Linked DNA regions of Caenorhabditis elegans. The protein of the gene in region 1 purifies or fractionates together with the protein of each later gene. This does not show direct contact. Each region holds a gene or a part of one and is shown on either strand. Other genes may lie near its edges. The genes, in order: hcp-2 and cls-2.

The links.
Region 2: the proteins of hcp-2 (region 1) and cls-2 purify together in Caenorhabditis elegans (affinity purification with mass spectrometry, with the first as the bait; one study listed by BioGRID). This does not show direct contact.

Annotation. Positions count from the first base shown.
Region 1 is NC_003283.11:9,644,054-9,650,717, reverse strand, and holds hcp-2 (HoloCentric chromosome binding Protein), read right to left. Parts: upstream 4,860-6,664; 5' UTR 4,837-4,859; coding exon 4,786-4,836; intron 4,741-4,785; coding exon 4,139-4,740; intron 4,092-4,138; coding exon 3,590-4,091; intron 3,542-3,589; coding exon 3,254-3,541; intron 3,206-3,253; coding exon 1,811-3,205; intron 1,766-1,810; coding exon 1,502-1,765; intron 1,455-1,501; coding exon 892-1,454; intron 837-891; coding exon 614-836; 3' UTR 507-613; downstream 1-506. Other genes in the region: atl-1 (Serine/threonine-protein kinase ATR), read left to right, coding at 5,264-5,337, 5,385-5,486, 5,535-5,599, 5,644-5,723, 5,772-6,254, 6,300-6,527, 6,575-6,664.
Region 2 is NC_003281.10:9,053,477-9,059,438, forward strand, and holds cls-2 (TOG domain-containing protein), read left to right. Parts: upstream 1-1,571; 5' UTR 1,572-1,575; coding exon 1,576-1,668; intron 1,669-1,717; coding exon 1,718-2,519; intron 2,520-2,564; coding exon 2,565-3,220; intron 3,221-3,267; coding exon 3,268-3,651; intron 3,652-3,695; coding exon 3,696-4,079; intron 4,080-4,304; coding exon 4,305-4,745; intron 4,746-4,787; coding exon 4,788-4,916; intron 4,917-4,967; coding exon 4,968-5,150; 3' UTR 5,151-5,419; downstream 5,420-5,962. Other genes in the region: R107.5 (uncharacterized protein), read right to left, coding at 153-308; gst-1 (Glutathione S-transferase P), read left to right, coding at 5,881-5,962. UniProt on the Caenorhabditis elegans protein: Probable microtubule plus-end tracking protein that promotes the stabilization of dynamic microtubules. Required for the formation of mitotic and meiotic spindles. Specifically promotes the polymerization of kinetochore-bound microtubules.

The DNA.
Region 1 (6,664 bases):
ATGTTGTCGAGTCTGAGCTTTTCAGAGTCCGATAGCTTCAGCGGCGGGATCCTTGGCGGTTTAGAGGTTCGTTCCAGTTGGCGCTTTGCTTCCAGGTCTCTGCACGGGTGCGTGTTTGACTTGATCGCTGCCAAGTACATCTGTTGCGTCGAGAGCTTATATTCTTCTTTCAAAGGGAGAACTCTGCATTCTTGGTAGATGTGGTCCGTCGGCGTGTCCTTCGTTAGTCCAACTCATAACTCCAATCTTGTTGCCGTTGTTATTTTGTTGTGGCCGTCTTGTCGAAGGAAGGGGAGGAGCCTAGTCAACAAGGTAGATCAAAAATAAATTATGAGAAATTTGTGCGATCGTATTTTTTCGATAATATCACGGTCAATTTTTTAAATGATAATCAAACAAACTCAATATAATCAATGATCTGTATTTTTTCGGATTTAATTAATCAATTCAATGCATCAAAGAAGAAGACTATGTAATATAAAAGCACAATCATCTAAATTTAAATTCACATAAAGACATTTATTCTGACCCGGAAAGACATTCACAGTTGAGTAGTGCGCGGAAATACGTAATGGCACACAAAAAGTAAAAATAAATAAAATACGAGTTCAAATTATTGCTGGTTGCAGTTTGAGCGGTTCGCCTTCTTCGACGGCGTTTCAACTGCAGTTGTTTCTTGAAGATGATCATCTGGATGGAGTACCGTAGATGACGTGATAGCATCTGGCGAATGGGAAAACTCTTCTTGGAACGAATCCTGAGCATCTTCGAACTTGTCCTCAACAACAGGCTCTGGTGGCTCCGCATGAGAATGTTCACGACTCAGCGGCTTCACTCTGAAATATCAAAGATTTACATATCTGAGTTTTGTCGAAAATCATGGAGACTTACCCAAGTCTGGCCTGTTGAAGGAGTCCCATTACTTTTGGTGGTTTCTTGATTCCTTTCAATTGCTTTATCTCAGATTGAAGCTTCGAGATGGCATCCTTCAGCTCTCGTTCAACGTCGTCGAAATCGTCACACACCTTCTCGAGTCGTACAATCTCCTTCTGGGCTCTTCCCAGTTGCTCCTCAAGTTCCGCTATTTTGGATAGTGCTTCTTCTAGAGCCGCTGATTGCTCGTTCTTCTCTTCCTGGATCACAGTTATATCATGCTGAGCTTGCTGCTCCACTTCAACTGCGTATTTGTCCGATGCAACCAGCTTCTCATTCATTTGTTGAAGTTGTACTTGTAACTGAGACAACGATTCAGTCAGTGTACCGACATTCATGGCTTGGGTCTTCCAAACATTCGATGCTTCAAGGCGCTCCTCGAACTGCTGAGACATCGCTTCGATTCGAGCTTGGAGAGTGATAATCTCTTTTTCTTTCTGAGCAATCATTTGTTCAGCATGACCAAGCTGCTCTTTGTCTGCGGAAACAGTTTGGTTGAACTCGTTTTGAAGTGATGTCCTCTGAAAAGAAATAAATTATGTTCTGTTCGAAATTCGAAAGAATATACCTCTGTCTCAAAGTCTTGCTTCAGCTTTACCATTGCCTCATTCGCCTCAGATATCTGAATGTCTTGTTGATGTTTGACGTCTTCTACATCTTGAAGAGCCTTCTGTGCAAAGGAGATGGAAGCTTCAAGCTCTTCGATACGAGCAGCAAGTTCATTTGACTGGGAACGGGATGTTTCCGTGGAATGTTGAGCCGATTTGAGCTCGTCGAGAGTCAATTGAAGCTGCTCCTGCTGATCACGATGTTTCGATACTTGAGCGATTAGCTGAAAAACAAGTTTAATTCGACTGAAATCTTAAGGAATTTAAACCTCTTCTTCTCTTCTCTGAACTTTAGCTTCGGATACTTCTAGGCTCTTTTTCAGTTCTTCCATCCCTTCAAGAGCATCCCCAAGCTTCGCATTCAGTTCATCAACCATTTCCTTGTTCATTATCTTAGCTCCAATCAGTTCTTCCTTAACATTTTCCACTTGGGATTCTCCGACGACGAGTTTATGTTGAAGCTCTTCTAGTTGAGATGCCAACGCCACCATATCCCTCTTGTGACTAGAATTTAGTTTTTCATTCAGAGATTCGAGAACTTCAGCATTTTGTTTGAAATTTTGAAGGTCCAATTGAAGTTGTTTTATCTCTTCCACAGAGCTTTGTTGAAGATCTTGAGCAGACTTTTCCGTATCTTCAATTTTCAACTTCAGCGTATCCACCAGTCTCAGAAGACCATCTTTTTCTTGAACTGCAGCATCAACCACTGATCGAGAAACTTCTTGTGATGCCGACAACTCCAGTTGAAGGGCTTCGAAAGATTCTTTTAAAACCTCACTCTCCATCACTTTCTGACGAGCATTACTGACTTCTATCTTGAGCATCTCCAGAGAGACCTGCAATTCTTGATTCGTACTTTCTGCAGAGTGCAATTTTTCCTTCAAATCATCAATCAATGATTCCTGTTGATTCTTCAGATCTAGAATTTGTTCTTCAGAGGAGGCCAAATCAGAGCGAAGTTTTTCGTTGGTTTCCTCTGCTTGCCGAATTTTTCTCAAATAATCTTCAAGGATGTGTTTTTGGTCTGCGGCGGAATCTGACTGCACTCGAACTTCAGCTTGGAGAGAATCAATAGAGGATCTCAGCTCAATAACTTCTGCTTCCGTCGACATCAACTTGCTCTGAATCTGGTACTTTTCTTCTTGATGTCGAGCCGATTCCTGGTGCATGACTTCAGAAGTCTCGCGAAGAGATACAAGTTGCTGAATTTGTTCCTCCTTCAATTGATCACGAAGCTTCTGACAATCTTCTTGAACAATTTCTAGCTTCTTGAGCTGTGAACTTCCAGTTTTTACAGCTTCTTCTTGTGCCAACTCCAATTCTTTAATTCTTATTTCCGCCTCTTCCAATTCAACTGATGTTTCATGTTGAATTTCTTCTAGTTCCAGTTGAAGACTGCAAACTTTATCCACCGAAGCCTTATATTCTCTTCGCATTGTTTCCAACTCAGAGACTGTGTTTTCAAGAGCAAGCGAATACTCATTTTGTGTAGACTCCGAATCCATTAGAAGTTTATCGCTGGCCTCAGAATCTTGACGAAGAGACTCAATGGTAGTCAATAGTTCACTGATTCGAACATCTTTATCTTCCGCTTTACGATGTGCATCGTTTAGCTGACCTTCCATGTCCACCAATTTTGCATTTTCGACGCGAAGGCTATTGATCTGAAATAAGAAATATAGTGCAATTATTTCTAAACTCGAACTACGAACCTGTTCCAGGAGTTCACCGTTTTTCTGAACAGCTTCCCCAATTTCTGACGTGGCTTTCTCTTTCACTTCTACGAGCTCTGACTGAAGTTCAAGCATTTTTGAAGTCAAATTGCAACAGTCAATTTTGAGATCATCGAGAGTCTTCTGAAGTTCTTCCAGTTCAGTAGTATCATTCTTCGGTTGAAGAGCAGACATTTCATTCTCAAGACGATGGATTTCATCCAACATCAGTTTACGAACAATTTCATGTTCCGACTTCAGAGTTTCAATTTCAGAGTTGGAGAACACCTAAGAAAAAATATAATTAATTTTCAGGCAAGATATTAACTGCATTACCTCTTTGTTGATCGTTGTCTCCAATTCCACATACTTCATCTGTAGTGTCTCAATGTCTTCCTTAGCCTTTTGCAGTTGTTCATCAGCCTCCTCTTTCATTTCTTGCAACTCCACAAACTTTTTTTCGTAGTCCTCAATGCTGTGTTGCATGACATCAACCTTCAGTGCTTTGTCAGTAAGCTCTTCACAACGACTCTTCAACTCTTCCAACTGATGTTCAAACTGTAGTTTCTCTCCGTTCGGCTCCGTTAATTTCATCTCGAGCTCTTCAATCCGTTTCTCAAGAAGTTGTTCCAGAGTTTTTGCAGCTTCGCGCTCAGATTTCGTCTTTTTTACAGCCTCCTCCACTTGTTGCATGAGCATTTTCTCTTCAACTTCACGAGCTTCTTTAATTTCAACAAGAGTTTGTCTATGTTTCTCTCCAAGAAGTTCAATTTTCAATTGAAGATCTTTAACGACTTCATCATGCTCGATATTTTTCTCCAGCATTTCGAATTCATATCTGAAATAAACAATTTAACAATGGGAATAAATTTAAATTAATCTTACAAAGAATATTCAATTCTCGATTTTTCATGCTGAGATGTTGACTGAACTGACTCTACAGAAGTTGACTGCACAACCTCACTCTCGATTGGAATTTTCGAACGAAGTGGGGAAGGAGCAGTTGGTGTACTTTCGTCTCCAACTTGTGTCTGGCTCCGAAGTGGTGTTGACGGAGTATTCTCTAGATCTTGAATCGTTGCTTGTTGGAAGAAGTCGTTCGCCAGTGTGACGTCACCATCAGTCGCAAAACTCTCGTCAGCAATGCTACAGTCTTTGCTGATGCTGTCTTCACTGTAAACCTTCGTTTGTTCCAAATTAGGATCGACATCATGAGCTGAGGAAGCTCTTGGCGGTTCACAGACACTGTTATCATCAACGGAGGTATTTGGCGGGGCGAGTGTGGAAAAATTGGAGATTGAAGAATCATCAAGAATAGAGTCGGAGGTACTGGTAGACGAATGGCGCGAGTCTGGCTCAATGCGAGTTTCTTCAAGATTTCCATCGGCCAAATTCATAGCAGAACGCCCGAAAAACCTTTTCGATTCCTTTCCGAGACGCGATTTCGGTGTCGCAGCAGAAAACGGAGATTCAAGCTGTTGTCGCTTCTGAAATTGTTTTGCTTTTGATAAATACAAAAATATTTAATTTACCTTCCCAGTTGCAGGCTTGTTTTCATCGCCGTCGTTTGTACTTTCCTCCATATTGAATTTGATCAAATTCGTCTGAGAATTTACGATAATGAGTTGGGGAATTGCACTATTGAAAAAAACAGTCCACGTTTAACGAAATAAAACGAAGTGAATCTGGAACTTCACGAGAAAATAATAATTTTCAACAAAACAATACAAAAACTGGAGCAATCGTTTAAAATTTCGCGCCGTTTCAATAGGGCGAGTTTGTATTTGCAATGCAAATTCGAATATATTCGATCCAATCGAACTCTATATTTTGCTTAATTTTTTTTGCGGAAGGAATTTATTTTTAAACTTTGTTCGTTTCCTTATTTTTAGTAAGTATTAGTGAATTCTTCATAATATTATCACAAAAACGTTAGCAATATATTTTAAATATTGTTAAATATCCATCGAACCACTGAAATAACGTGCGCAGGCTTTCAGATATTTGGGAATGAATATCGATAAGGATGTTTCAGCTCTGCTATGTACGGCGAAAAAATATGTGACGCAGAAAGAATTCAACAGGTATAATTATTAAATCTTATCTTAACTTTTTTATTTTACATTTTCAGACAAAAAATGAAATTCTTGTTAGATGACATAACTAAATTGTTATCGAAATCTTTCGTTTCCCGAATCGAGCAGTTAGACGAAAATGAGTTCATGGAAAAGATGTGAGTTGGAAAATGTAGAAGATGATGATTATATTTATGTTTTTTCAGAATGATCCTTCAGAGTATAACATTTACATTACATTTAATAACAGAGAAGCAGGAACTTTCTTCAGGTAGAAAATACAATTTAGTATTTGTATTAATATATTCGTTCCAGAGGAAAAAATAAGATTATTTCAATCAGTGATTGCGTCGATGTGTGCCTTTGAGGATGAAGAATTGGCAAAATGTTTTGACGTTAGCAAGAATTATATTCAATAATTCAATGTTTTTTATTTATTTCAGCGAATTCTATCAGTACTGATGATCTCTGTGACGAAACAAGACCCGAGAGAAACTATTTATTTCCTGCAAGGATTACTGGAAGTTGTTAAATATTGTGACGTCGAACCTTCGTCTTCTCTGCCACAATTAATCACTCCTGAAATTGCTTCAGCTATTTCATTAGGTGCCTCAGGATTTTTTAGATATCATTTGAAGTGGAATATCATTTCAACTTTATTCGGAGAAAACGCAGGAGAATGCGTTCATTTCGATGAATTGGTTCTGTTTTGGCCTCACTGCCGATCACAGTTGGAAGACAAACTGAAAAATGATTGCTCGATGACCGAAAATTGCTTGCGTGCTGGATTGACAATCTTAAAATATAAAAAACTGCACAATTCTATTCTTGATCAGGCCCTGTTCATTGATGAACTGTTTGCCACATTTAACTCATTAACTGCGAAGAAGTCGACCAATCACATGACGTTTCCAAAGCTATTGAATGTAATTTCATTTTTATACTTCGAATGTATAATTTATCAATTTCAGGAGATACAACACTTTCTACAGGATCATGGCAAAGTTTTGATTATGCATAAAGAACTTCGACAAAAACCAGTTCAATGGCTCATAATTTATTTAGAGTTAATCGATGATGCAAATGACAAGTTTGGACTACTAGAAAACTTTTCCTTGTTGTTGTTAGATTTATCGACAAACCATGATATACATGAGTTTCCTGCGAGGCTATGTATGACAGCAAGTGAGATTTGCATGGTGAGTTAATTAGAATATTAAACAATTAAATCTCGGAATTGTTACAGCGGCGAATCAAACACTCTATTCAAAGTACACACACTGATTGCCTTGCTGATTACCTGGACATATTGGCGTCTCTGCTGAAACTTGCTCGA
Region 2 (5,962 bases), on another chromosome or scaffold:
AGTTTATGATGTCGAAAGATTTTTTCGAATGAATCTAAGCTTTGCACGTGCTTTAATTGTTCATAACATCTCAGACTAGTTTTTTATTCAAAGTTCTTAAATCTAGTTAAAAATTGTATGATAAAATCGAAATTTAACGATGAGTCACTTACCAACTCAAATTCAACGGGAAACGGGCGTTTTCCATTTGGTTCTCGTACATAATAATGATTTTCTTCTGGTGGCTGATGTGAGTTGAAGTTGTAGGGCTGGTGAAGATTCGAATTTTGATTCGAGAACGATTCGCTGAAGTTGGTGAGTTGTGTCATTTCTGCAAAAAAAAATAAAGCATATGACTTTACACATGGAAAAGGAGAAACAGAAGAGAAAGACGCAATGCAATTTCAACTAAAAAAATTGAAAATTGAAACGGAGATAAACACACAACAACGCGGAAACAATGAAGGACAGGTTTAACGTGTCAAAAATGTCGATATGATTGCAAATTTTGGTGAGAAACCTCGATTACGGGGGCGGGAAACTCTTTTGTATGAGAATTGAGGTCTTCGGGAAGTGAGCGGATTGTTCTAGAAGGTTCGCGCAACAAACCAATCGACCACGTGGAGGAGACACATCGCTACGGTTAGAGACGCAGACAGCTAAACGCTCGGCAAGCGCTATTCAACCGAGACAGCCGAGAAGTTTCTGTCGGAATGGGAAAATATAGGCGACTTTTTCCGAAAACGATCAGTTTTTGGTAGTGAAAGTGAAGAATATGATAGTACAGCTGAAATGAATTGATTGTTTTCTGCCTGTAGAAAAACCAACCATGATTATGAAATAATCGTACAATAGAAGCCATTCAAGAATCTCGTAATTTAAAATTCGCAGTTATAATTTTCTCAGCACTCTGGCGCATTCACAAAAATTTATATCAAACAGACAGAGTTGCACTTTACAGACAGAAGCAATACACATGTGTATTTTAGAAAAACATTTATTTTAGTAAATATATTTCCTGTAACGTTTCTGATATATATTTTACAGAAGAAACGAGCGAAATCGGTGAAAAAAATCGGTTTTTTTTTAATCCTTTAATGTTTGAATCTGGCGCCGGACGCGTTTTCGTCTCGAGACCCGAGGCTGTGCCTTTAACACTTTGATGTCTCGTCTCTCTACTCTCTCGTCAGCACTATTTTTAGCCTAAAAATTTTTAAATATCATTTCTAGAATTTTCATTTGGATATGCAAAATTTTTTCATTGAAAATTGAAACGTTCTTCGCGCTTTTTTCTTATATTCTCCTTTCTCAGCTTTGGAATTCATTATTTTCTTCGAATACGATTTCCTTGAGTCTTTGGTGTGAATCATTTTTCAAGATTGAATGTCTGTTTGAATTTATCGAAATGATCCAAGTAAAATGTGCCCTCCTCACCGTTTTCGAAATTAATGCAATTGCGCTCTAGTAATGACAAATCCTTGCCGGGCTATTTCACAATTTGCGCTCGATACTGAATGTTTGTTCTGTGTTTGTAAACTGTTGGATTTTCTCATTCTCTCCATTTTTGCTTTCTTTCACAATATCTATATTTTCCAGATGAGCCGTGTCATCAGCCGATCGACTCCGGGTGGGACATGTATCGTCAGCAAGGACGACTTTTTGAAGTCGTTCGAGGAAGTGCCCAAAATGGTAAGTTTTGTTCTCGCGTATGGTCTGGTCTTACTTATTTGTTTTTCAGGAAATCTCGTCGCCCTCAGACTTCAAGGAAAAGTTGGACCAGACAATTGAAACTCTGTCGAAAGGCCAGGAAGACTGGAACAAACGAATGAATAAGTTGAAACAGATTCGCTCAATGGTGGTTCACGGAGAAGACGTTATTGGAAGGGAGCAGCTTTTGAGCCAGCTTGTCCGGCTTACCGACTGCCTGGACCTCTCAGTGAAAGATCTCCGATCGCAAATCCTGCGAGAAGCTGCGATCACCTGTGGATTCCTATTCAAACGGTTCGGGACGGATGTTCGTCAAATTGCCGAGAGATGTCTTCCATCAGCGTTTGCCCAAGTCGCTGTAAGCACAAAGGTGATGGCAACGTGTGGAGCGGTGTTAACTCTGTTTATTGTTGAATTTATTCAAACAAAACAGATTTTCACTTGCATTGCCTCCTACTCCACATCGAAGGATAAAAATCAACGGAGACAGCTGTGCGCATTGCTGGAAATCGTCCTCGAACATTGGAACGAAAAGATCAAGAGGACAGTTCTACCACAAATTGGCGAGTTGATCAAGGCAGCAATTTGCGATGCTGATCCAGAGACCAGAGTTGCCGGACGAAAAGCATTCAGCAAGCTCGATGCACTACACTCCACTGAGGCAGACAAACTATTTGCTTCAGTCGACTCATCGAAACAAAAGATGTTGCGTGCCTCTGATGCTGCATCATCAAGCACGAGCATCAATAGTGAACGCGGAACTGCACCATTTCGGTCGAAATTGTCTGCGGGCAGTATTGGTGGAATCAGAAATGCACCGAACATTTCTTCAAGTGAGTTTAAAGTTCAACATATCAATCCAATTATTTCGTTTACAGAGTTTCTTGCTCAAAGAAGTGCTTCTGCCATCGATACAAAGCAGGTGACGCGAATGGCAACATCTGTGTCCAGAACTCCAAACATTCGCCCGATGACCACTAGGACACTTTCAAAAATCGACACCTCTCCAGGAGGTTCGAAGTTTGCTAGACCAACAGTTGGAGCGCTTGGTTCTCGTACCTCTTCCAATCTTCGTGCTCGTGGAAGTGTCCCAACGTCTCAGCCTGGTTCTCGAAATGGATCACCGCCACGCCGTCCATCCGCCACAGAGGCATTTCCAGCCGAAATGCAACGAGTCAAGTCGAATCTTGGTTCTAACTCGTTCGTTTCTTCTCTGTCAGCCGAGGAAGCTACGAAACTGCAGAAGGCAATGAACACGGCAAAGGAGAGCTTGAGGCAACCATCACGCAACGATGATGATGAGTTCCTCTTGCCAAAACGTCCAACCCCACAGAAGGCAACACCACAAAAAAGTGCACTTGATACTTCCAGAGTGGAAGAAGTGATTCGTGCTTGTTCGTCGACCTCTGCAAATGAGAAGCGAGAAGGAATTAAAATGCTTGCAGGCATTGTTTCGGAGCCAAATCTCAGCAACGCCGAAATCAAAAGCCTGGGCGCGGTTCTTAACAGATTGCTCGGAGAATCCACGAACCAGGTAGAACATTTTAATTTAATAATTTTTATTGCAACATTTTATTTCAGATTGTGCTGGAATCAATCAGTTCGTTTGTCAAAACCCATCATCCCCGTCTCAGTGATTGGCTCAAGCTTGGCCTTGGAAAGCTGTTTGCAAAGAAAGGAGCAGAGATGACGTTGAACAGTAAGAAGCAAATTTCCACAACCATCAGCTGTATTCTGTCATCGTTTGATCCAACCCTGCAATTGAAATCAACATGCGAGCTGGTGTGCGATCCAATTCATCTAATGTCCCCGAAGAGTCGCGTGGTCCTTCTTGAATATCTCAATGAACTTCTTGGGAAGTATATGGAGCGAGGATCGTCGTTCAACACTAAAGAGATGAAGGCCACCATTCTCAAGATGTTTTCGTGGATGGCAGATCAGAGGAATGAACAGTTGATCACCCCGGTAATTATAGCTCTCTCTTTATTTTAGCAATATGCATTTTTCAGCATGGCGAGAAAGTACTCTGCTCACTCTTCGCATTGAACAACGCCGACTTCTCTGCACTTTTCAACGACTTCAACCCCGACTATCGCGATTGGGCATACAAAGTTCTTCAGTCTCACGGACATGATCAACACGTTCCACAACAAGATGCTGTTTCTGAAGAGGCCTGTGTGCGAGCCACGATTTCTACTACAGCTGCGCAGATAGAAGATTTCGTCGTGTCGAGGAATCTTGATATGACTCCAGTAAAATCGCCTAGCACAAGAGCCATTTCGTCGGGTTTCAAACGAGTCGATGCGGAACCACTTCGTCCTCTGTCTTCGGAAATGAATTCACAGCACAGAGACGAGGAACTCAGCTTCAATGAGTCATTCGACCGATTAAAGGTATTTAACAGCATTATATTTAAAAGAAAATGGTTTTAAATGACAAGTGGTCAGAGGATTTCGAACCCCCCCCCCCCCCCCCCTCTTTCTTCGTTTCAGTGGCCACGTAAGGCGCGTAGTTCAGCAAAGTATATTTTTCGTAGACGTTAAAAATCATTTCTACATTTTGGCTCAATAATGACCGTCAGTTTCATCCTCCTATTCTTTCTTCAAATTATTTTTCAGCTCAACTCAACAACGCATCTTATTGACGATACGTCGGAGCAGAGCAAGTACGTGGCGTCGAAGCTGGCCCAGATCTCTGGTGACATGGGAGCTCAGCAATACGAAGGACTTTTGTCGATCCAGACAATGTTGTGTGAAGGCTCATTCACTCTTTGGGAGCAAAACTTCGCCAAGCTGTTGATCGCTGTCTTCGATGTGCTCTCCAAAAGCGAATCAGACGCCAACAAGAAAGTAGCTCTGCGCGTTTTGACAAAGATGTGCACTTCGCAAGCATCGCGCTTGTTCGACTCTACGGAAATGGCCATCTGTAAAGTTTTGGATGCTGCTGTCAACTCACAAGACGGAACGATGAACGTGACCGCTGATGACTGCTTGAAAACGCTGGCAACCCACCTTCCACTGGCTAAGGTGGTTAACATCTCGCAGCTCATTTTGAATGAGGTAAGTTCAAGAATTTTTACATTTAGGTAATCTGTTTGTCAGTATTTGCAGGAGAAAGCTCAAGAACCCAAAGCAAGCTTGGTTCTGAAAATGATGACCAGATTGTTTGAAGGTCTCCAAGCCGACGAATTGAGCCCAGTGGTTGATGATTTGGCGCCATGTGTGATCAAGGTAACTATTTATCAAACATCGCAATTCATTAATGAAATTTTTACTTTGCAGTCTTACGATTCCCCATCGTCTGCAGTTCGGAAAACTGCTGTCTACTGTCTGGTCGCGATGGTGAACAAGTTGGGAATGAAGACAATGGAGCCACATCTTCAAAATCTGTCGTCTGGAAAGCTGAACCTTGTCCAAGTCTACGTCAATCGGGCAATGTCGTCCAGTTCACATTCGCACGTATGATTCGTCGTTGCAATGTAGCCCATAATTCCCCCGTATTCGTATCCCAAATTTCCCCCGTAAAACCTTATCGTCCCTTTTCTCTCATCCCTTCACTTTGTAATATAATTTTATTTGTCAAGAGCGGGTATTGCACACTTTCTCTATGCTCCTTTTAGCATAATTTCCCCCGACTTATGTCCCTTATGATTTTCGACCCCCGTATTTCTTATTTTTATTTTTATATATTTTCTTTTCTTATTTATTTTTTATATGAATATTTCTTAAATTTATTTCTTGTGTATAAGTTGAAAACCGTTTTTTCGTTCAGGCCAATATATATCTGGAACAATAGGTAAAAAACTTTCGGTATTCAATTAGCCATCACGTTTTGTTGACAGTAATCTCGTTTCAGTGTTTTTTCTGATCTGCTACCGGCGCCAAGACTAAACTATTGTTAATTTTCTAGAAACTTCTCTGGCATTTCAACGTCATCCAGAACAATTGTAATCATCTTAACAACTTTTTGTCATCATTTTCGTGCTGGCCACGTTGTCTTTCTCTTTCATTCCAGTGCTCTCTCTTGCTTGTTTCGTCTAGCACCCCTAGTACCTCCACGAACTATAAAAGCCGTTCTATTTGTCCACTTCTCACATTCGATTTCTTTTCTTAATTCTCTCTTGAAAACAAAAAAAACCAGTTTCCACATTTCAAGTGTTTGTTTTCAGTCAGTATTCACTCAACTTCGTTCAATATGACCCTCAAGCTCACGTACTTCGACATCCACGGACTCGCTGAGCCAATCCGTCTTCTTCTCGCGGACAAGCAAGTTGCCT